Linked DNA regions of Drosophila melanogaster. The protein of the gene in region 3 interacts with the protein of the main gene of each other region in a pairwise test. Each region holds a gene or a part of one and is shown on either strand. Other genes may lie near its edges. The genes, in order: RPA3, chinmo, indra and Tep4.

Region 1 (3,046 bases), on a different chromosome or scaffold from region 3:
TGCTGCTGGTGGTGCTGATGCTGATAGAACAGGGTCTCTATATCCCTGGGTATTAGCTGCTGTCTTAACAGATCCTGATCATCGGGATGCGTGATCTGCAGTAGATTCTGGCCATACAAATCGGACTGACAGTGACCCAATAGCTGCTCCACGCTGGTGGATACCAAAACGATTTGGCCACTGCAGGTTAGGGTGAGGAAGCAGCAGTCCAGCAGTTGCATTAGAGTGTCCGTTAGATGCAGACTGGGATTGGGTAGATCTCCGACAGGTGAGGCAGACATACCCGTTCCCTTGAGGCCGGTTTTCTTGCGACGTCTGGAAGCGGACTTGCCAAAGACATACTGAAGTCTCAGGCCATGGGTGGCGAATCTAAGGACGGCGGTTTTGTCCAGGCGACGGGAGGATTCGGCTGCATGTGGTACCATGGTGGCCAGCTCCTGGATGCTGGCATTAAGCTTATCCCGTCGCTGTTTTTCGGCAAGGTTACGGGCCTCCCGTCCATTCGCTGGATCTGAGGAGCTCCCACTTCCCGATCCCGATCCCGATCCCGATCCTGTCGAGCCAGCGGATCCTGTGGAGCCCGTGTTGCCCGTCTCTGGTGCTGCCATTTTGGACTTTTTGGGCGTTTTCTGGAGTTACTGCCTCCTTGTTTTCCACTTGTAATCCTCGATTTATGGATTTTCCCCTTTAATTGGCGCCTTGCGGTAAATGAAAATCGTCACTCTCCATAACAGGGTGTACGCTCCGCACTTCTAGAATTGTTATTATGGAAATTTTTCGGCTAAAATATATTTTTTATTACTTTTGCAGCTTTTAGTTTCTTATTTTTGGCTGTTGTCTTGTTTTTTTTGCTGCTTTTAAAGTTTTCAAGGTCTCGCTTATGCTGTGCTGTTGTTTTTGTTTTTGCTCGCCTCCCCTCTCTCGCTCACTCTCCTTCGCTCACTGACACACACACACACACGTCACTCTCACGCAACGTACATATGTTTTCTCTTTTCGCTTTCGTACTTTTCCACTTGCTTTTAGTCTTATTATTACTATTATTTGCTTCCCTATTTATTTATGCGTTTCGCCTTGTAGTTTTTTATTTTTCGTTTTTTTTTTACGTTTTGATTGCGTTGCGAATCTGAATCTCCTGCTTATTGTTGTTGCTGTTGCTGGTGGCGTTGTTGTTGTTGCGATTTAATGCCCGCAATAAGGAAATTCGGAGGGCGGCGGTCGTTTTAACAACGCACTTGCTGCTTGCACTTATTTTTGTTTATACTAAGTGATTAATTGTTTATTTGTAACATTTATTTTATAACAATAAACATTGGCCAGTCTAAAAACTATCGATACATCGATGTAACTGGTTGTCGTACTAAAATTCGCACGTTCACACCGGACAAAATATCAGAAAGATTCGAACATCTTGTTCGCTGTCGATAACATTGTTGTAATACATGTAATCTATCAGGTCTTTTTATAATTCTATTATAAATTATTTTTATTAATTCTTATTATAATACATAAGTCCACAGTAATAATGTAATAACTTTTGATGTTACAATAAATCCATAAATATTTTTGCTACAAAATTCGAATAATTTCGATAGCAGACGTCATGCAATTTTATTATCGATTAGCACGCTCGATAACTATTGGCGCTCTTTCTTGTTTACGGCATTTCATTTTCTGCTGAAATTGGCTGTTTTTTGAACGTTATTAACTGAGGAGTTATTATGGATGCCTTTGATCCACGCTCGATTATCAACGGCGGCATGCTGAAGCAGTTTTCCGGCCAAACCGTGAGCATAATGGTTCGCGTGGAGAGCGTCGCGGGATCCACTTTGCTGGCCAGTTCCACAGACAACCACAAGCTAAAGATCAATCTGCCGGGTGAGCTGGGCGCCGCCGAAGGGGCCTGGGTCGAGGTCATTGGAGTGCCCCATGGTGCGGACACCCTCAGGGCCAAGGAGGTGGGTGCACTCAATCCATGGAGTCATTTATTTCAATGATCCCAAACCATTTGCCCACTATTCATTTGCAGGTCATCGAGTTTGGCGGCGAGAACATCGACTTCGATAAGGATGGCTATAATGGATTGAGCCACCTGATTAACAATGTCAAGGCCTTCTATCGCAGCGGCTAGGATGTCCACAATTATATCTAAGAATTAATATTATGTACTCTAATGTTATTTTTTCCATTTTTTTGGAGAACACTCAGAGCTGGCATTAACTTTAAATATAAATCATCTATCTACATATATTACGAGTACAATTTACGGGTGTTTTAACCAGTTCCACGTATATTCTACAACAAATACTTAATACCCACAATTTAATAACATAAACAACACATTCTTAAACGCTCTTGTGTAATAACATTTACTTCCACAATTTGTTATTGTATATATGTTGGTATAAAAAGACTAACTAGCAGATAATCAATTCAACAGTTGAACAATTAACATAGGGCGAGCCAGCTGACGAGTGATGACCAGTTGCATGGACTCCAAGTCCGTATGCAACTTGAGGGTTATTGCAGCACAGCCGCATTGGCCACCACGCTAGGATTGTTGACCACCTCGCCGAGCGAATCGAGAACCTCCTTTCTGTAGTCATCGAACTCTCCAACAATCTCGTTGATCGTCTGATCCTCAATTACGTAGAGAGTGCAACCTGTTTCACGGATCAAACGCTCGTCGTGGGAGACGATGATCACGCCACCCTCGTACTCGTTGATTGCCTCCGCCAAGGCGTCGATACTCTCGATGTCCAGATTGTTCGTAGGCTCATCGAGAATTAGTACATCCGGCGCACTCAAGCATAGCTCAGCGAGGGCCACACGGGCTTTCTGACCACCGGACAGATCCTTCATCTTGATGGTGTGTGCATGACTGACCAAACCAAAGGAACCCAATGCCTTACGCGCCTTTTCGTGGGGCAGATTGAACAGACGCTGCAGGTACTCTGCAGCCGATTCCTCTGCCGTGAGATGTTCACCTGAGTGCTGATCGAAGCGGCCCACATGAAGTCGGTGATTCTTGCGCTGCTCACCCTCC
Region 2 (4,796 bases), on a different chromosome or scaffold from region 3:
GGGAAGACGTAGGTCCAAAAAGTGCGTGCAGTACTGCAAAAGCAAATGGAGAGCCAAAAAGAGAAGCACAGGGGTGGATTTAGGAGGTGGAGTGAGGTTTATTGGCGCTCGACCGAAAAATGCACTGCATTTTTCGTTATGGAAAGGGTTTGATCTAGTGGTATTTTTATAAAATAAAAATATATGAAATTAATTTAAAATGCATCGAAAAAGAATTATTAAGGAACGCGTTCCGGAATAATTCCACTTCCGACTGGGGAAGCAAAAGCAGCAGCAAAAGCAGGAGCTTTTGCCTTTGCTTATTGGATTTTCGACGCCGGCACTCCACGTGTTTCTTGAATCGCGTAAATTGTTCGTTTTCCCTTACCACACCCCGCCCCTTTACCGACAAGCTTTCATTGTCATTGTGTGTGCATAAAATGGCAGCAGAGAGAGAGAGAGAGAGAGAGAATGGGAAAACATGCGCCAAAAAAAAGCTTACCGCTCTCTCCTCTCTTTCGCTCACTGCAAAACGAATGCGCATTGTTATTGTTTTTGGCAAGGCTGCACTGAAAAAAAAATACTGTTGCTAACGAACTGTCAATGAATAGAAATAAGGTAATTGTTTGATTCAACTTTATCAACTCTTTTTCCACTAAAATTAAGTGGTTATTGTTTGATTGGCTAGGAATTTGATATTTTTGATGGGAATTGCATTCAAAAAAGGGACTCCTGACACTTGTGTGAATAGGGGAAGTTTTTGGGCTGAGAAATGAAAAGCATTTTGAGGGTTTTTGTTCCAATTTTGATGGTTTGATCGGAAAGTTCTCAAGGGATATGCAAATTATGCGAGAACTGAGTAGTTAGGTTATTATTGTTTTCTTCCTAGAAATCAAAGACCAATTGTAAGAATTTTCTAAAGAATTCCAAAGAATTCCACTAAAAAAATTTTATCCTTTACTTTTGTTTTCTGAGAGTGATCAAGATTTTAAAGAAACGTAATGCGTTCTTTTGCATTAAAGCTATGCAATTAACATTTTTCCCATATTCCCATCTTAACTCATTGTGCCGATCTTAAAGTGGTTTTCCATATAAATCGCCTCTTGCGAACCCTATTTCTATTGCATCTAATATTCAGAGACCACCTGGATGGAATCCCCCGCTGTTCGAATAGGTTAAGACCAAGTTAAGGTTTGCTTTTGCTATTTCGGGACGAGATTTCCCTAAACATTTTCCACTTGAGCGGAGCTCCTATAAATTACCTCATGTCCTTTGCCTTATGCAATTGCGCCTGCAAAAGAGAGAGTGAGAGAAAGAGTGAGAGACTCACCCCCGGATTATGAGGATATATGTAATTTTTATCCTGGGGCGGCAGTGCATACACACAGAAAAAGACATGCAAAAAGCAGTTGCAACGACCATTACTTCTACTCGCCTGAGTAAATTGTGTTCTAAAAATCATTAAAAAAAAATATGTAAACTATTTTCTGTTATACTTTAGACTATTTTCGGTTATCCTTTTTAAGAATCCTTGTTGGAGATGTCCAATCTGACAATTGCAAGTTGCTCGCCTGCATTCCAATTGGATTAAAAGCTCGCTCGCTCGCTCGCGCTCTCTTTCTCTCTCTCTCTACGGAGCACACCACTGCACGCTTGTTCGTTCGCCGCCTGTTGGAATCGAAATCGAATCGGCAGTCAAAAAGAAACTGCCGTGTTGAACGGACGTGTTGAAGTTTCGCGGTTGCTTGTTTCGGTGGTGCTCGCAGCAGCAGCAGCGTTTGTGCATTCGCATTCGCAGTCGCAAATTCGCATCGCCTCGTCGCTCGTCAGCCCTGGCAACTGCAGGCAACTCAAGTTTTACACGTAAATTAAGAAACGAGGAAGCACGGACAGAATCGAAACCGCTTGATAAAACAGTTATTCTCTACATTTCTGAACTGAAAGAACTGCAGCGGATGAAGTGCAAAAAGCGAAAAGTGCTAAAAGTTTGCGGCATTGAACACTTTTAATTATTATTTACGTTTTGTTTGTGTTTCGTCGAGCAAAGCAAATGCACAAACTAACTGTCCAGTGTGCATGTGTGTGGCAAGAGTGCGTGAGTGCGTCGTGAGTGTTGCAAAACGGCTGTTCGCCTAGTAATTCAAAGGTAATTTTGAGTGAATATTGATCATATTGAAGTGCATGTGGTATGTTTCAAAGCTCAAATAAAGTGACATAAAATCAAAAATGAACAATTATGCGTGTGTACTTGGTTTTCTCGCACACATGAAATTCTGGCCTATGTGTGTGTGTGTGTGACTTTGCAACTCGAATTTCAAACGGTACAAAACGCAGCATAAAAAATGAAGCGAATAGCAAAAGCAAACTGAGAAAAAGTGAAGTATAGACTTTTATGCATAACCAAAACGTCTGCATTTTTAATCAAGCAACAACAATAGAAAAATAAGCAAAAGCAAACTACAACAACAACAGCGAGGAGTACATGGAACAATAAACAACCCTCCCCGTTTTCCGCCTCCCCCTGAAAATAAACAAGGCGCAATACCAGTGAACTGAACCCCTTTTTTGCACTGTGTGTTTATGTGTGTGTGTGTGTGTGTGTGTGCTACGAAATAGCAATTAAGGGAGAATAGAGGAAAGTGCATGAAGTGCAGGAAAGAAGGCAAAATGCAATTAATCCCCAGGACACTTGTTCAAAAAAGCGAGAGAAAAGTGTAGAATAACGGTGAACAAGTGTTGAACAACTACAGAAATACACTACAAAATGTGAAAACTTCTTAAAAATAGTTTTGAAGTAAATGTTCTTAAAACAATTAGACAATTCACTGCTCAAATAAAAATGTTTCCCCTTCCCCAAAATTTCCAAGTCCCAATGCCATATAAAGTGTTTTTGAGTAGAATAAAAGACATTTGCCAGAAGCAAAGTGGGAATTACGGTCCCAAAATGGGAAAATGAAATATATTCTGCGATAATAAAATCATTAATCCAATTCCACTTACAAGAAATCGGGCTGATAAGAAACCAGAAATTCTGGGCACAAATGAAATGAAATTTATTCGGGTGAACTGTGACAAATTAATATAATATTAAAAAGAAAATGAATACTTAAAACATGTCACATTATCCCCGAATAGATTTGAGTTTCAATCAGCCAAATTCCACTTACACTTTTTAATAACAATTTTCTAACCGCTTTTGTATTTGCAGCCAAATGTCAATGTGAAAATGTCTCAACGAGCAAATTTTAGGAAAGTCAAGAAAAACATTCAACGACCTCAAAACCAGCGAATGCTACAAAATGCGAATCAAGAACATTTAACCATCTAAATATTCAAAATCAATTTAATTGAATCAAATAACGCGAAATTGCAACAAATCAACCTAAAAATGAACTGAAAACAAAAACATTTCGAAAAACAACGCAAAATTCTAAAATTGGCAACATAAGTTTTGGTCTTGAATTAAATACAACAAAAATAAATTAACAAAAAACGATTTTTGGCAACAAAACATCATACATAAAATATACACAAATTGTAATTATCTCAAAACGTCCACACGTGAAAATGATTTGCAACTAAGATGACAATCTAATAAAATCAATGTAAATTTTTAACGCAACAAAAGGAAAACCAAAACCGTCAGCAAAAACCAGCCCAAAATCAGTTGAAAAGCCGAGGGAAATCTTTTTAGAACAAACGCAGAAAACCGCAAAAATTTAAGCCACCAAATTGGTAAACTATTCAAAATTATTGGTTCGGACATACGCAATACTAAACACAGCAACACAACAACAACAACAACAACAGCAACAACAGCAGCCATAGCAACTACTACAGTGATCACTACAGTAAAAGCAACCGCAACAGAAGCAGCAGATAAAACGTGTGTGTTAGTTTGCATAAAAATTTCGTTTCGATAAAAGCAAAGCAAAATCATTTAACAAAATAAATAAAGAATAAAGTAAAAAAAAAAATTACCAATCGTAATACATGTATTTATAAAATATATACCTATACATATATCTATGCTTACGAATTATATCGGAGAATATTTGGTAAACAATTTTTGATAAAAACAACTCGAGTATATATCCTAACTAATTAGCAACAAAAAGAACTAGAACATTTGGCCTAAGTGAAAAAAAAAGTGAAGTGAGAAAAACTAAAAAGAAAAACTTATAAATTCAAAATTACCACTTGTGAAAGGTGTTACAACTGAGGATTCTGGATTTGGATTAATGCGTAAATTTGCAATTGAATATTAAGGTGAGTTTGTTATGTTATATTTATGAAAAATTCACAACTTGTCATTTTTTCACACATCTCTTCGCATTTCTTAATGGCCCTTTTAAGTTTCCCCACGCACGAAAAAGTGCGTAAAATGAAAAATGTTTTTTTTTTTTTTAGAAAGTGTCCACAAACATTTGCAAACAATTACCGCTCGTAAAAAAAAGGCAAGTGCTCCGCCTCTAATTACAATTATAATTTATGCAAAAAGTAAGGAAAACATTTTTTGGTCAAGAGAAAAATTGTCTACGCACTTTGCGTATGATTTATGACACTCAAAACTTGGCGTTGCATATTAATACGCGAGAAAAAAGCAAAAGTTGCTTGCTTGTCACTTCTACATGTGTATCTACGCACACACACACACAAACTCTCTCACACACTCACGCACGGAAAGGGGTGTAGATATTTTTTGGGGTTGTGCATAAATTAAAAATATATTACTTCTGCTTCTTGCCGATGCACAAAAAAAAAAAAAAAATGCGGCGCAGTTGACACGCAATATTTTTCGACTGCGCTGCCGGCGC
Region 3 (5,347 bases):
GATCAGAGATCGGACGGAATCGCATCGCAACGCCATGCAATCGCACACGAATTGCGGATGGCGGATTGATTGAGCTGAACGAACGATACAAGATGCATAAATATTAGGGAATTTTTTATATACGAAATACAAGAAGGAAAACAAAAGAAACAAATGAAAGAAAAGAAGCAACTAAACTAAACTAACGAAAATCGGGTAGAAATCACGTCAAATGTAGATTTTGCGCAATAGACTGACATTTTAGATCAAATTTATTTTCTACACTCTAAAAATGGATTGATAACCGACCAGATGCCCCAAACGAGCCATACCAAATGCAAAGCTCACCCTACTTGCTCGCTATGCTTAAAATATTAAGAATATCATAACTACCAATGTTTCAAGCACCCGACAACCACCCACTACACGCTTCACTTGTTGTTGTACAGCAATTTCTTATAGCATACGACCTATGTATATTTATTTATGAAGATTATGAGAAACCACCACTTGTTGTAGTACATGGCAAAATATAAAGTGCAGCAATGTGCCAAAAAGAACCGAATCGGAGAATTGTACGAAGTGTCCTAAACGACTCTTAATTTTACTTTGCCTCCCGCCTACCACTACCACTAACTTTGAATTGTTGTGTTTAAAATTAAAGACCCTGTCCCCCCTTAAACGAGCACTTTATTAATGAATCGAAATTCAGCGCCATTAAAGCAATAACTTACGGTTAAACAAAACAGCTCGATGTACACCTATATCTCGTTTAACGCTTTTAAGGAGTGTTATAATCAAAATTGTTCATTTCGCACACTCGCCCCCGATCGATCTGAAATCAAAATAAAGTGATTCTTTTTTCAAATTGTGACCGTGGACTAGTTGCACGTGGCTAGTTGCAAATCAAATTAAACTAAAATCGGTTTACTAAGTCGCTAAGCGAAGTATAGGTGTATGATTTAATTATAATCCAGGTTTTGCCATAGCGAAACCATTTTGTATTAGAACGAGAGAACGAAGAAGGCGAAAGACTATTCAATGGTTTTTCCAGTAGAGTAAGTGTGCAGTCCCAATCCCAAGAAACATATTTATATAAACGTGTAGCGTGAGAGGACGCAAATATTTTTTATATGTGTAACCCACACTTTAACAAAATTCAAGTAACCACCCCCGAAAGCGAGGCACTATGAATCCATATGAAATCGGATGGGCCCAGGAGGATAACAAATAAAGGAAATACATATTTATATTAAGTATATTTAACAGAAACAACATGAACAATACCTAGTAATGCCTAGTTAACTAAACGTCGGCTAAGTACACCAACCGTACACTGAAACAAATCCAACACAACACAGTACTATACAATATTATGCCTATGAGAGAAAGAGAAAGGAGGAGCAGAGAAAGTATTCAAATAAAGCTATACGTTTAAGACATGAAAACTGCGAACCGCTTGATCCTGGCGCATTCCCTTGCCATGTCCTTGTCATTCATAACATTTTTCATCTCTTTGTTTGCAGGCGCGGGAACCGACTCAAAAAATCCAAGACAAAGTAACGGCACAGCCCATCCAGGTCAGCACCAACACAAAGAAACAAACTAAACATATCATTTTGCATTACTGTAGCTTCTAATGCCTAAATAAACTATTTTTAAATTGGAAACCAAGTTCAGAGTTATCGATTATATATCGACACGCAAAGCTGTTGCATAACGCGACGTGAGCATTAACAGAATGTTAATGTAACTTAGTGTGACCGGAATGCGCAATATACTGCTTTGGTAATATTTTTTAAAGTTGCTACTGCCATTATAGGTAGTTTAAAAACTGTTTTCTACACTCTTTCTAAATTTGATGCAAAAATTATTAAGATTAAGATTCGTTCTGCGAACGTTCTGCAGTTGCTTCTTTTAACGTGCAACCATAATATATAAGCACACTATGTGGTATATTTTGGTGACTCGGTCTGGCAGCACTGCAGTTGATTAACATAGATAGCAGTGTTTGGTAACTGTAGCCCCGCAAAAAAAAAAACGTGCGCACGTTGTTTGATTTCTGTTTTTGTTTTTGCTGGAAAACTTAGTGAAAATATGACCAAGGTGCAAAAAGAGGTGCGATGCGACCATTGCGGCACAAGCCAAGGGTCCAAGAGTGTTTTTTCAGGTCAGAAGGTGTTCCTGGGCAGGAAAATAACAGACGTACTGGAGACCATCACCCACAGAAGCGTGAGTTGGAAATGGCGGCATTCTGATTTCCCTTCTCGTCATCTAAATCATCCCATCCCATTTCAGATCCCATCATCCTTGCCCATCAAGATATGCTTCGTCTGCACCTCCACATTCATGTCCAGCGCGGCACTAATCGAGAAGGTCCGCGAGACGGTGGACAGGGTACAGGAGCAGCCCGCCAAGAAGACTAAGGTAGCGGAAATAGAGGAGCCATCGACACAGGAAAGCGATAAGAAGGCGGTTAAGGTGCCAAAAAAGAACACCACCCTCCGTCAGCGCAGCAAGTCCATAGCAGCTTTCCCGCCAAGCTTTGTGAATGGAGCTAATACTAATACAGAAATCGAGATCATTAGTGCTTCGCCCAAGAAACTCGATAAGACCCCTAAAAAGCAGATATCTCGACTCTTCGAGGATAATCTTAACGATTCGGTTAAGCTGACGCCCGCCAAAGAGGTGTCGTCTACTAAAAAGGCTTTCCTTAATCTCTTTGGCAACGGCGGCAACGATGCCATCGAAGTACTGACCGAGAGCGAGGAAGAGGAGGACTCGGATAAAGGTCCTATCACCATTAACACAAATAACTTTCAGTGTCCAGAGTGCGAATTTCACGCAAAGTTTCCCAAACCGTACAAGGAGCATCTGCAGAAGGAGCACGGTCTTCAAAGACCACGCATATACCCCTGTACCTTGTGTATTAAGACTTTTGGAGTGCTTAAGACTTTGAAAAATCATTTAAGGGACACTCACTCACGCACTTTTGAAAGCGAGGCTAAGACTAAGGCGAAGGAAAGCAAGGAAAAAGAGGCTAAGTCAGGGGCCAAGAATAAAATTGACGCAAAGGCAAAGGAGACCAATGCTGTGAGTCAAAGGAAGAAGCCAAAAGAAAAAAAGTCCAAAGAGAAAAAGACAGAGATCAAATGTAATGTTGAAACCAAAGTGGTTGACGAAATCGACGACCAAGTGAACAACAAAAAGGGCACAGATAGTGAGGACGCAGACCAGACCCAGGCTACCAAAATCGCCTCCTTTAAAGCGCTAAATGAGTCATTAATGAAGAAAAGGATGTTAGAGAACGTGATCGACTCGGAATATACATTTGCCATCAATGGATCCAGCGCCTCCACTCCCAGGGCGGATTCGAATAATTTTCAGTGCGAGATCTGCGACTGTGAGCTGATGACCGCCAAGCAGATGCAGGAGCACATGAAGACCGTCCACAGCATCGACAAGCCAAAGGTTTTCAAGTGCCACGTCTGCGAGAAGAGTTTGGCTACCAAACAGTCGCTGAAAACGCACATGACTCTACATGCCGACGGTGCTGAAGCGCCGAACTCCAGCAAGCGAAAGATTCTGCAGGACGAGGATGAGGACGTAGACATTCTGGGTACGACTCAGATTGAAAACACGGCCGAGAAGGTTGAAGGACCTAAGAAATCACAACAAAGCCCTACTAAAGCCGCAAAGTTCACCAACCGAAAGATTCTGCAAGAAGAGGATGAGGTTGTGGAAATTGTGGACGCTTTTAAGACTGACAACACCGCGGAGGATGATGAAGGACCCGCAGAAGAAAAGATTATACGATCCAGGAACAACATTCAGCACCAGGTCGATGGAGGCATGATTGCACCTCGGTCGCCAGCTAAAAAGACAAAGAAGACCAGTCACGTAGATCTGTCTGTGTCCACAACCAATGGCAATTCGCCTGCAAAGTCAGAAAAACGAAAAAAACAAGACAAATCTGAGGACACGCTCCCCTCATCTGATGTAGACATAGTGGAAGAAATCAACTACAACGTGCGGCCGCACAAAAAGGCTCGCCTGGAGTCCATTGGTGACTCAACAGCCGACGAGTCGACCCTCAGCTGCGACCGGTGCGGGAAGTTCGTCAAATCGCGTCAACGCTTGGACTCGCACATGGAGAAAAAGCACGCCGCCAAACTACAGTGCACCCTATGCAAGGAAGTCTACCAGAACCAAATGGATTACGTGGCTCACTTCTCGAACTGTGGTTCCGAAGGTGGACTTCCATGCGGCGTAGCCAATTGCAAGAAGGTCTTCACGGAGGCCAACTTCCTATCCTCGCACCTGCGCAAGCGCCACTAGTTGCACTAGACTCCCTTTTATTTTTGTTTTTCATTTCATTCTCTTGACCAATGTAGTTTTACGTTAGCTTATTGCTATGTTAAGTATAATTCTTTGAATTTTCAATGGCTAACTTTGAAAGGGTCTATATAAAGTTGATAAAAGTCGATGAAAACTGCAATTTATAACAAGGTTACTTCATACATTTTTAACTATTATTAAGTTCAATTCAAAAGATAAGTTTAATTTGTATATTAAGACTTTATTATAACCGCATTGGTTACACCACTTGTACTCACCAAGAGTATATAAATTAGCTTGAATGTAATAAACATATTTGTACTGAGCGATGAACTGTTAATAAAAAATGGCAAAAAGCTACGAAATTGCTTGTTTCAATCAGTGGAGAGAAAAAATGACACAATATGAGTTCACTTATACATTTATTTGTCATATTCCCGAAACAAAAACAAAACTAAAATAACGTTTACGCGGAAACCAACCATTAACGATGCATTCGCCGGGGAGAGCAGAAGGATTGAATACAATACCGATGTTAAATCAGGGGAAGCATGAGTTCTCCACGGGAGTTCAACAACGAGGCGGAAATGAAAAACATTTTGTCTAGTTACACTTTTCTACTTAATGTAAACGATGATATTGATGACGGGCTCAAGACGACGCCACTTTGCCGTGAATCTCTGCCTGGGCCACCTTCATCACGTCGAGGGCGCCGCGCTTGATCAGGTCCTCCGCCAGCGTCTTGCCCAGCTGGTTGGCCTTCTCGTAGATGCCCCGACTGTGACAGGCGTGCTGGTAGAGACCGCAGAACAGGTTTTCCACATCCTCAATGAGCACCGAGTGCTGCGGCGTCGGCTGCTCCTCGTCGGCGTAGTCGAACATTTGGACCGTTTTCTGCAGGAACGGGCACTTGGCTGTGGCTGCGTTTCCGTTGTCCTTAGCCGGCGCCTCAAGACCGCTGCCCTGATGCATGGCCGCAAAGGGACACTTGGAGGAAGTTGCAACATTATCCACTTCATCGCCAGCGCTG
Region 4 (8,162 bases), on a different chromosome or scaffold from region 3:
CTACATATGTACCATAGATAGTTCTGTGGATTCATTTCTATTTTCATTTACTTTAGTGATTAACCGAAGAGATAGACATAATCGCGACACATGTCCATGTATGCCTTACTATCTCATATTTATGTATGTAGATGCCAGTTTTTCGGCTCTCCAAACTTAAAATATACCGACTAGGAATTTGGAATAATAAAACATTTTGTTCAGCTTTGCGAACTTTCAATATTATTACGTATACAGTTCACAAAAAAAGGTTCAAGATTCAATTATTCCTGCCTGCATATACATATGATGTATTAGCTTTACAATAGCTTTAAAAAATAGTTTTTTCATAAAAATATTTGTATATTCAGTTAGTTATTATGAGCGTATTTTGCAGGCAGTATACTTTCTGGGTGAAAGCCAAGGAAGATTACTTGTTACAAGCAAATTAATTCACCATACATCACCACAATTTAATTAATCATGAAATTACAGCGTTTTAAAGCTAATTCCTTTCCTAGATTGCAGCGTATTCATATCACCCAATATCACTACTTATAGATTACACGGAACCGAACCGCACGAGAGAAAGAACAAACGGGGAATCACCAAGAGAAACGCAGTTGAGCGAATATCTCTTATATATTGGCATTACTCATCGCTACATTATATACCCGTTTCATTTGCAAGGCAGTGTGAAATACAGCCAAGTGACGTCATCATTCGGCAAATCAAGAGAGCGACATCTAACAAAACAACAACAGCTGACTCAGAGAGAGCAGGAAAGAGTTTTCGATATATATGTACACAACGCCTAGTCAGTTGGTCTCCGTATTTCGATTTAGGAGGCAGTTCCGTTAACACTGCAAATCAACAAGTCCAAATAATATTGCACGCACGTCATTTGCCACACGACAAAAACATAAATATTTGTATTCAATTCATATATTGGGATTTTACGCGAGATCTTCGCAAAAAATCATTTGGGCTTTTCCAAAAACCAGATAATGTACGTAAATTATTTAAAAGGAAAATCTATATTTCAAATCATTGCGAAACACGAAGCGACAGTTATTGGTGACAATTAAAGTGTTAATTATCGAAAAACCCCACACGAAATATGAATAAGTTGTTATAATTTGACTATTGCATGACGATAGTTCTGTGACAAATAACTGAAATATCACTCATGGGCAATCAGTAATACCAACTTTCTGTTCTTCTATACAGTCACGCCTATTTGTTCGCCCTTTATTCGTAATATTCATATAATATATTCATTTCTAAAAATGGTGAAATTCGAAACATTAATTTTTTGCAATTTTTTAGCAGTAAATCCCTATTTCCCATTTATTAGTCCAATTATGATTGAAACTGGCCCGAGTGAATACTCGAATCAATATTTGAAAATATGATGAAAATAGAAACATTCATCTTTGGTGTTTTTGAACAGTAAATTCCCATAAATCCATCCTGTATTGTATTCTTTTGAACAGTATGTTCCCCTAACTTCCTTCTAAAATCAAATTACGAATGATTTTTAAGCTGAAATTGGTCCAAGTGAATACTCACAAATGTAATATTTGTAAATATGATAATTAGAAATAATCATCTTTGATCCCTTTGACCAGTAAATTCCCATAAATTCCTTCTTAAATCAAATTACGAATGATATTTCAGCGGCAACTAGCCCAAGTGAATACTCACGAATGAATATTGATATTGGAGTGCCGGCGTTTTTTGTGGCCATGTTATTATTGTTAAGGTTTTGTTTGCCCAACTCGCGTCATCGATTTCAGTGGGCGCACCACATACACCGCCACACACACACACACACACACACACACCACAACAACACACACTCTGCCAGTTTTATTTACTTATAATTTTTATCAGTTTTTTTTTTTACGACTTGCTCGCCCCACTGGAGCTCGGCTTCGTCTGCCGGGCCTGGGGTTTTAGAGTCGCTCGGTATTATAACAAATCCGTGGGCCATCGAACCGAACCAGTCCCAGCTCGGCTCTGATCCCAGTCGGTCGCAGTCGCTCAGTCGCTAACCAAACTTCCGCCAGCATCGATCCCGCGCATTATAGCCTTATAATATCTGTGCTCTTATTTCCCATCCTTTTTGCCCTCATTTGACCACCAATCCAATCAAAATGCGTCGCGCAGACGCTTTTGCTGTCTCGCTTTGTGTGATTTTGGCCTTGCTGCAGACGATGGAACCGGTAAAAGCCGAGGGGTAAGTCCATATACCACAAATACTATACTATATGATCGGATCGATTTTAAAACACATCTACGGTTAGAGTATTAGTAGAGTCGGGTTAGGAATTCGCAAAAATATAGGCGATAATCAAAGCCAGATATCTAAAACTATAGTTCTTTACAAAGCTGGCCTATAAAACGTATTGTTCTTACTTCGGTTATTCGGTTGATAATTTGAATAAAAACTGATGGCTAAAAATTTTAACCATTTCCCTAATACGCTAGTGGTTGGATTCCCGTCTCACTCGAACACTTAAACACAGATTACTGCAATCCAAACTATATTATCTATGTTTATTACTTATTACCACTATTATATTCACAGTCACTGTATGGCTGTCGTCGAATATTTCAATTAATTAGGTATGCATATATGTATACAGATAGGGCCGTTTTTAATGAACATCAAGGTAATTAAGCTGTTATTTATACGCAAAATCACCTATTAGCTTAATTGTTTATACCATCTGGTTTGTCCTTGGATTTATAGGAGAGTTTTTTTACGGTTTTTACAAATCACTAACCTAATAACATTTTGCTCTACATTTTTCAAATAGTAATTTAACTTTTAGATATATAATTATGTATATAGCAAATGTTAAACATCGTTCCTTATCACACCTATAAGATTAAACACTAGACTTCTGTCCACGTAGTGACGATGAGCACCTAAAAGGGTGAATTTGGGGAAATTCAATAAAATTGAAAATCTGGTACGATAGTCCGATCACAACTATTCACTCACTTCAAAAATATTCAGAATTTCTTTTTTAAAGAGGTTTAGTTACTCCGAACTAATATCTGGTATTTAATTTTTGAGTTGAAGGTGCCATCGCCACTTTAATCTCACCTTGTTGAGGGGTGTTTTATTTTCTTCATTTTTGTTGAGCTCAACTTATGATGCTAATTGAGTTTCACTGTAAGCCATTTTGAATATGGATTTTTATATTTTTTACTCAAACAAGAGGATCACGTCACATACTTTGTTTGCCTCAATGGTTTCGCTGATCAATCTTTCACACGATCTTAAATCTGTACTTTTTCCTGTCCCGCCAATTATTAGTAATTAGAAACGAATATGAAGGTGGGTTATGGAACACACTTAAAAATGTCATAAACTTGAAGTCTAACATAAAAGGCTGGAACAAATCTAATCCAAAAAAGTTAATGATGTTCAGGCTAACAATATTGGTGTACGTGATCGGGGACTGTAAGTGCGAGAAAGATTGCTAATCGCAAAAGCTGGAATTATGTAATCTCTAAGCCGGTTTCATACTTTTCAGTAGAAGATCAGGTTCTGGGAATATTATCCGTTATATATATATATACATATATATTTCATCATTTGCTGTCACAGATCAAAAAAACCATAACTCAAAAACCTAAACCGAATCTTAGACTGCCTTTTAAAGATTGGGAACATTATCAAGTCGAGGTTAATGGTTTTAAGTTTCATTTCTGTGTTTCCCTAGAGATTAGACAATATACATTTATTTTTGAATTCTTAGAGCATGGTCAAGAATTTGATATTGATAATTTGAATATTGATAGCTATAGTTACTATCAAGAAATACAATACTATATATTATACAAATACAATACTACAAATATTTCCAAGTGGATATGTGTATGTTTTTTTCTCTTCTTGGAATTTTTTATGGCCGAATTGTTATTTGATTTTATTTTGTTTTTCATGACAATAATGTTGATGTTTTCTTTGCTTCCAGCAAGTACACCATTGTGGGTCCCGGAACCATCCACTCCCACCGTGACTACAATGTGGCCGTGGCTGTCCATCAGACCAAGGAGCCAGTCACCCTGAAAGTGGGCATCACTGGACCCTCCTACAACAAAACTGAGACCGTGGAACTAGCCACTGCCGGTGAGTTCAAGCAGATCACCTTCAAACTGCCCCCATTGGAGGCGGGTGAATATAATCTGACGGCGGAGGGCGTCAAGGGACTGGAGTTCAAGAACTCCACCAAGCTGAACTGGGAGAATTTCAAGCCATACATTAAAATCCAGACCGATAAGGGAAAGTACAAGCCCGGTGATACTATCAACTATCGTGTGATCTTCCTGGACGAGAACCTGCGGCCGGATACCGCTAAGGATGAAGTGGTGGTTTGGTTTGAGGACTCCAAAAGGAACCGCATCAAGCAGGAGAAACACATAAAGACCACCGGTGGCGTCTACACTGGCAAATTCGAGCTCTCCGAGTTCGCCACATTGGGCTCCTGGTCCCTTCATGTTCAGAATGGAGATCAGCACCACGACGGAGGTATTTACTTTGGGGGTCGTAAACAATTTGGAGGATTTGGTCATCGCTGGCATCGCTCGGATGAGCTCGTCAACTTTGAGGTGGAGAAGTACGTGCTGCCCAAGTACTCCGTCAAAATGGATGCCACGCAGCAGGTTTCAGTGCGAGATGGCGAGTTCAATGTCGTCCTGAAGGCCAAGTAAGTATTACCGGAAGTTTTATGCTTTAGGACATTCTTATATCAGCATTATCCCCCAGCTACACCTATGGTAAGCCCGTGAATGGTAAAGTTCTTGTCAATGTCCATCTGGACTCGACGAGCAGTTGGGAGAATGTGGACGGCAAGACAGTGCAAACGGACTACCCCGGACATTCTGTTGTTGGCACCGCCGACATGGTCGGAGGCAAGGCCAAGTTGACCATGGATCTCAAGGACTTCGCCAGTTATCTGCCGCACAAGACCTCTTCTTCATATGCCCAGATTACGGCTACCGTGGAGGAAGACTTCACCGGCGTGAAGCTCAATGAAACAGGCGGTGTGCAGCTGTACCCCTATCGGTATGAGATGTCCTGCACTGACTACTCCAGTTGCTTCTCCTTCAAGCCCGACAAGGAACATGAACTTAACTTCAAGATTACATATGTCGACGGCTCACTAATTACAGACACCAAGTCTGTTGTGAAGGTGGGTTAGAAATCTTAAGAGATCTGTCACTACTTATAAATTCGTTTTAACTCTAGGCCAAGTTCACTGAAGGAATTCGACGCAATTATGCTTTCTATGCCTTTGGAACAGATCATCAAGAACCGGAATTGCCAACGATTGAGAAGAAAACGTTTGTGTTTGAAAGCCATTTGAATGCGTCTGGTGTGGCGCCTTTCAAGGTGGTTCTTCCCGATTTGCCGGATATCGCCAACTTTACTCGTTACTATAGCATTGAGCTGGAGTTCGTCGATGAAAAACGAGATCTGTACACCACTTATCCCTACAGGGAACCAAAACAGATTGAAAATCCTAGCTCTGAAGAGGAAAAGGAGTGGTTCAGGGCAGAAGTTCAGAGGCCCAAGGACGTCTGGAAGTGAGTACAGTTGAGTTGAGCAAGGGTTCCACGATTTTAAATAACCATATACAATACTTCTATTGCAGCCTCAAGATCGGGCAGGAGTATCAAGTAATCCTCAACTCCAGTCGTCCGCTCAAATACTTTGTGTACAACATTGTGGGACGTGGAAACATATTGGAAACGAAACGTGTGGACCTCGCGGAACCCCAAACGACCGTCAACGTAACCATTAAGCCCACTTTCCTCACTACTCCCTATGGTCGGGTGTACTTCTACTACGTGGATGAGACAGGAGAGTTCCGATATACCGAGGAAACATTCAGTGTGGAGGTCGAGCTGCAGAACCAGATCGAAATCAAGGCTCCCGCGGAAGTTAAACCGGGTGCCGACGTTGCACTGGAGATCAAGACGTCGCCAAAGTCATTCGTTGGATTGTTGGCCGTCGATCAGAGTGTCCTTCTGCTGGGCAGCAACAACGATTTGAACAAGGAATCCTTCAACTGGCGCCTAAATGGCTATGACACCTCAACTCCCTGGCAGGGTGGATACTCCTACTACCCCGGAGAGCGAACTGGAGTCGTGACTATGACCAATGCCTATTTCTTCTATAATCGCACCGCCCCAGACTACAATATTCGTACGTATAAATTTGTCATAATAATAAACCACATTAATTTGCAATTATTGGAAGTTACAGAAGGATTTGGTGGAAGCTCTTTCGCCATGAGAAAGACTACAGTGGCACATGATAGTCATGTATTCCATTCCGGTGCTGGCGGACCAACTCAGGCCGTGGGATTCTCCGCCGAAAGTGCGTCTGCATCTGCAGCACCAGTAGTGCGAAAGAATTTCGCAGAGACCTGGATCTTTGCCGATATCGAGAGCACCGAGGAGGAGGTGTTCAAGTGGGTAAAGACCATACCCGATACGATCACCAACTGGGTGGTCACCGGCTTTTCACTGCATCCCCAGAAGGGATTAGGTGTCACCAATGATCAGACAAATATCAAGACATTCCAGCCGTTCTTTGTCTCCGTTCGATTGCCATACTCCGTGAAGCGAGGTGAGGTGATCAATGTACCGGCACTGGTCTTTAACTACCTGCCCAAGACACTGGACGTGGAACTGACCCTGGACAACGAGGATCAAGAGTATGACTTCGTGGATGCCTCGAATGAGGTTATTGGTGACCAGAAGCGTACGCAGAACATCAGAGTGGGCGCCAACGAAGCGGCAGGAGCCTCATTTTTGATCCGACCCAAGGTCATTGGAAATATTTTGCTGAAATTCAAGGCCATCTCACCGCTGGCCGGAGATGCTATACACAAGCCGCTAAAGGTAGTGCCCGAAGGAATTACCCAGTACCAGAACAGGGCATTCTTTATCAATCTTAAGGATACGGGTGAGTTTAAGAACACCTTCGAGCTGGAAGTGCCGGAGGATGTGGTCCCCGACTCCGAGCGTGTGGAATTCGGATTGGTGGGTGATCTCTTGGGACCAGTGGTCAAGAACCTTGAGAACCTGTTGCGATTGCCCAGCGGTTGCGGTGAGCAGACCATGTCCAAATTGGTGCCCAACTATCTGGTGAGGGATTATCTGAAGAGCATCAAGAAACTCACACCTGCATTGGACACTCGCATCAAGAGGAATCTGCAGGACGGATACCAACATATGTTGCACTATCGCCACGACGACGGCAGCTTCAGTTCCTTTGGGCCCACCAAATGGAGGCAGGAGGATCCAGTGCGCAATGGTTCCACCTGGCTGACGGCCTATGTGCTGCGCTCGTTTAGCAAGATCAAGGATATAATTGACTTGGATGAGCAGATCCTGGCCAAGGGCTACGAATTCCTGTTAACTCGACAGGCAGAAAATGGTAGCTTCACGGAACACGGAGAGTATTTCTATAGCTCCCAGCGATCTCTATTGACATTGACCGCAAATTCCTTGCTCGCCCTGCTGGAGGAGGAGAAACCGAACCAGGCTGCCATTGACAAGGCGGTTGCCTATCTGAGCGCCAATACTGCCGAGTCCATTGAGCTCCTGCCCAAATCCATTGCCATTTATGCCCTGCAAAAGGCCAAGGCGCCGGAAGCTGCCAAGCAGGTGGCCAGTCTTAAGTCCCTGGCCAAACACGAGGACGATCGCACCTGGTGGACCGAGGATCTGGATAAGCTGCGTGCCTCCAAGAACTGCGGACGCTGGTGGTGTTGGATCTGGAGTCAGGATGTGGAGATCACATCATATGCGCTGCTTTCCCTTCTGGATTCAGACCAGGAGACAGCCGACTCTGTTCTGAACACCGTTCGCTGGTTGATCGCCCAGCGTAATGGCTTCGGAGGATTTGCCTCCAGCCAGGACACGGTTGTCGGCCTCACCGCCCTCATTAAGTTCGCTGAGAAGTCGGGCTACGAGGCGGCCAAGTGGGAGGTGACCGTTTCCAACAAGGGAAAGCGTGAAAAGACCGAGAAGCTCAACACATCGGAGGAAAATGACCTGCTCCTCCAGACAGTCGAGTTCCCACAGGGCACCAAGTCGCTGGAGTTTGAAGCCAAGGGAACTGGAGCTGCTATGGTCCAGATAAGCTACCA

What was found.
Region 1: the proteins of indra (region 3) and RPA3 interact in a two-hybrid assay, tested with the Drosophila melanogaster proteins (one large-scale study listed by BioGRID).
Region 2: the proteins of indra (region 3) and chinmo interact in a two-hybrid assay, tested with the Drosophila melanogaster proteins (one large-scale study listed by BioGRID).
Region 4: the proteins of indra (region 3) and Tep4 interact in a two-hybrid assay, tested with the Drosophila melanogaster proteins (one large-scale study listed by BioGRID).

What each region holds. Positions count from the first base shown.
Region 1 is NC_004354.4:11,614,430-11,617,475, reverse strand, and holds RPA3 (replication protein A3), read left to right. Parts: upstream 1-1,635; 5' UTR 1,636-1,721; coding exon 1,722-1,958; intron 1,959-2,029; coding exon 2,030-2,131; 3' UTR 2,132-2,379; downstream 2,380-3,046. Other genes in the region: Met (Methoprene-tolerant), read right to left, coding at 1-608; CG1703 (uncharacterized protein), read right to left, coding at 2,521-3,046.
Region 2 is NT_033779.5:1,649,588-1,654,383, forward strand, and holds the start of chinmo (chronologically inappropriate morphogenesis), read left to right. Parts: upstream 1-1,670; 5' UTR 1,671-2,125; intron 2,126-3,187; 5' UTR 3,188-4,248; intron 4,249-4,796. UniProt on the Drosophila melanogaster protein: Required for morphological differentiation of postmitotic neurons during postembryonic brain development. Ensures production of appropriate neuron subtypes within a lineage by preventing precocious generation of late neuronal types of that lineage.
Region 3 is NT_037436.4:1,338,792-1,344,138, reverse strand, and holds indra (indra), read left to right. Parts: upstream 1-1,735; 5' UTR 1,736-1,747; coding exon 1,748-1,767; exon of another isoform or gene 1,768-2,069; coding exon 2,070-2,211; intron 2,212-2,277; coding exon 2,278-4,317; 3' UTR 4,318-4,679; downstream 4,680-5,347. Other genes in the region: Hmbs (hydroxymethylbilane synthase), read right to left, coding at 4,969-5,347. UniProt on the Drosophila melanogaster protein: Required for rDNA copy number maintenance and non-random sister chromatid segregation (NRSS) following unequal sister chromatid exchange. Binds ribosomal DNA (rDNA) preferentially binding to intergenic spacers (IGS) regions on both X and Y chromosomes.
Region 4 is NT_033779.5:19,547,708-19,555,869, forward strand, and holds the start of Tep4 (Thioester-containing protein 4), read left to right. Parts: upstream 1-1,985; 5' UTR 1,986-2,138; coding exon 2,139-2,221; intron 2,222-3,974; coding exon 3,975-4,706; intron 4,707-4,765; coding exon 4,766-5,192; intron 5,193-5,248; coding exon 5,249-5,586; intron 5,587-5,654; coding exon 5,655-6,208; intron 6,209-6,262; coding exon 6,263-8,162.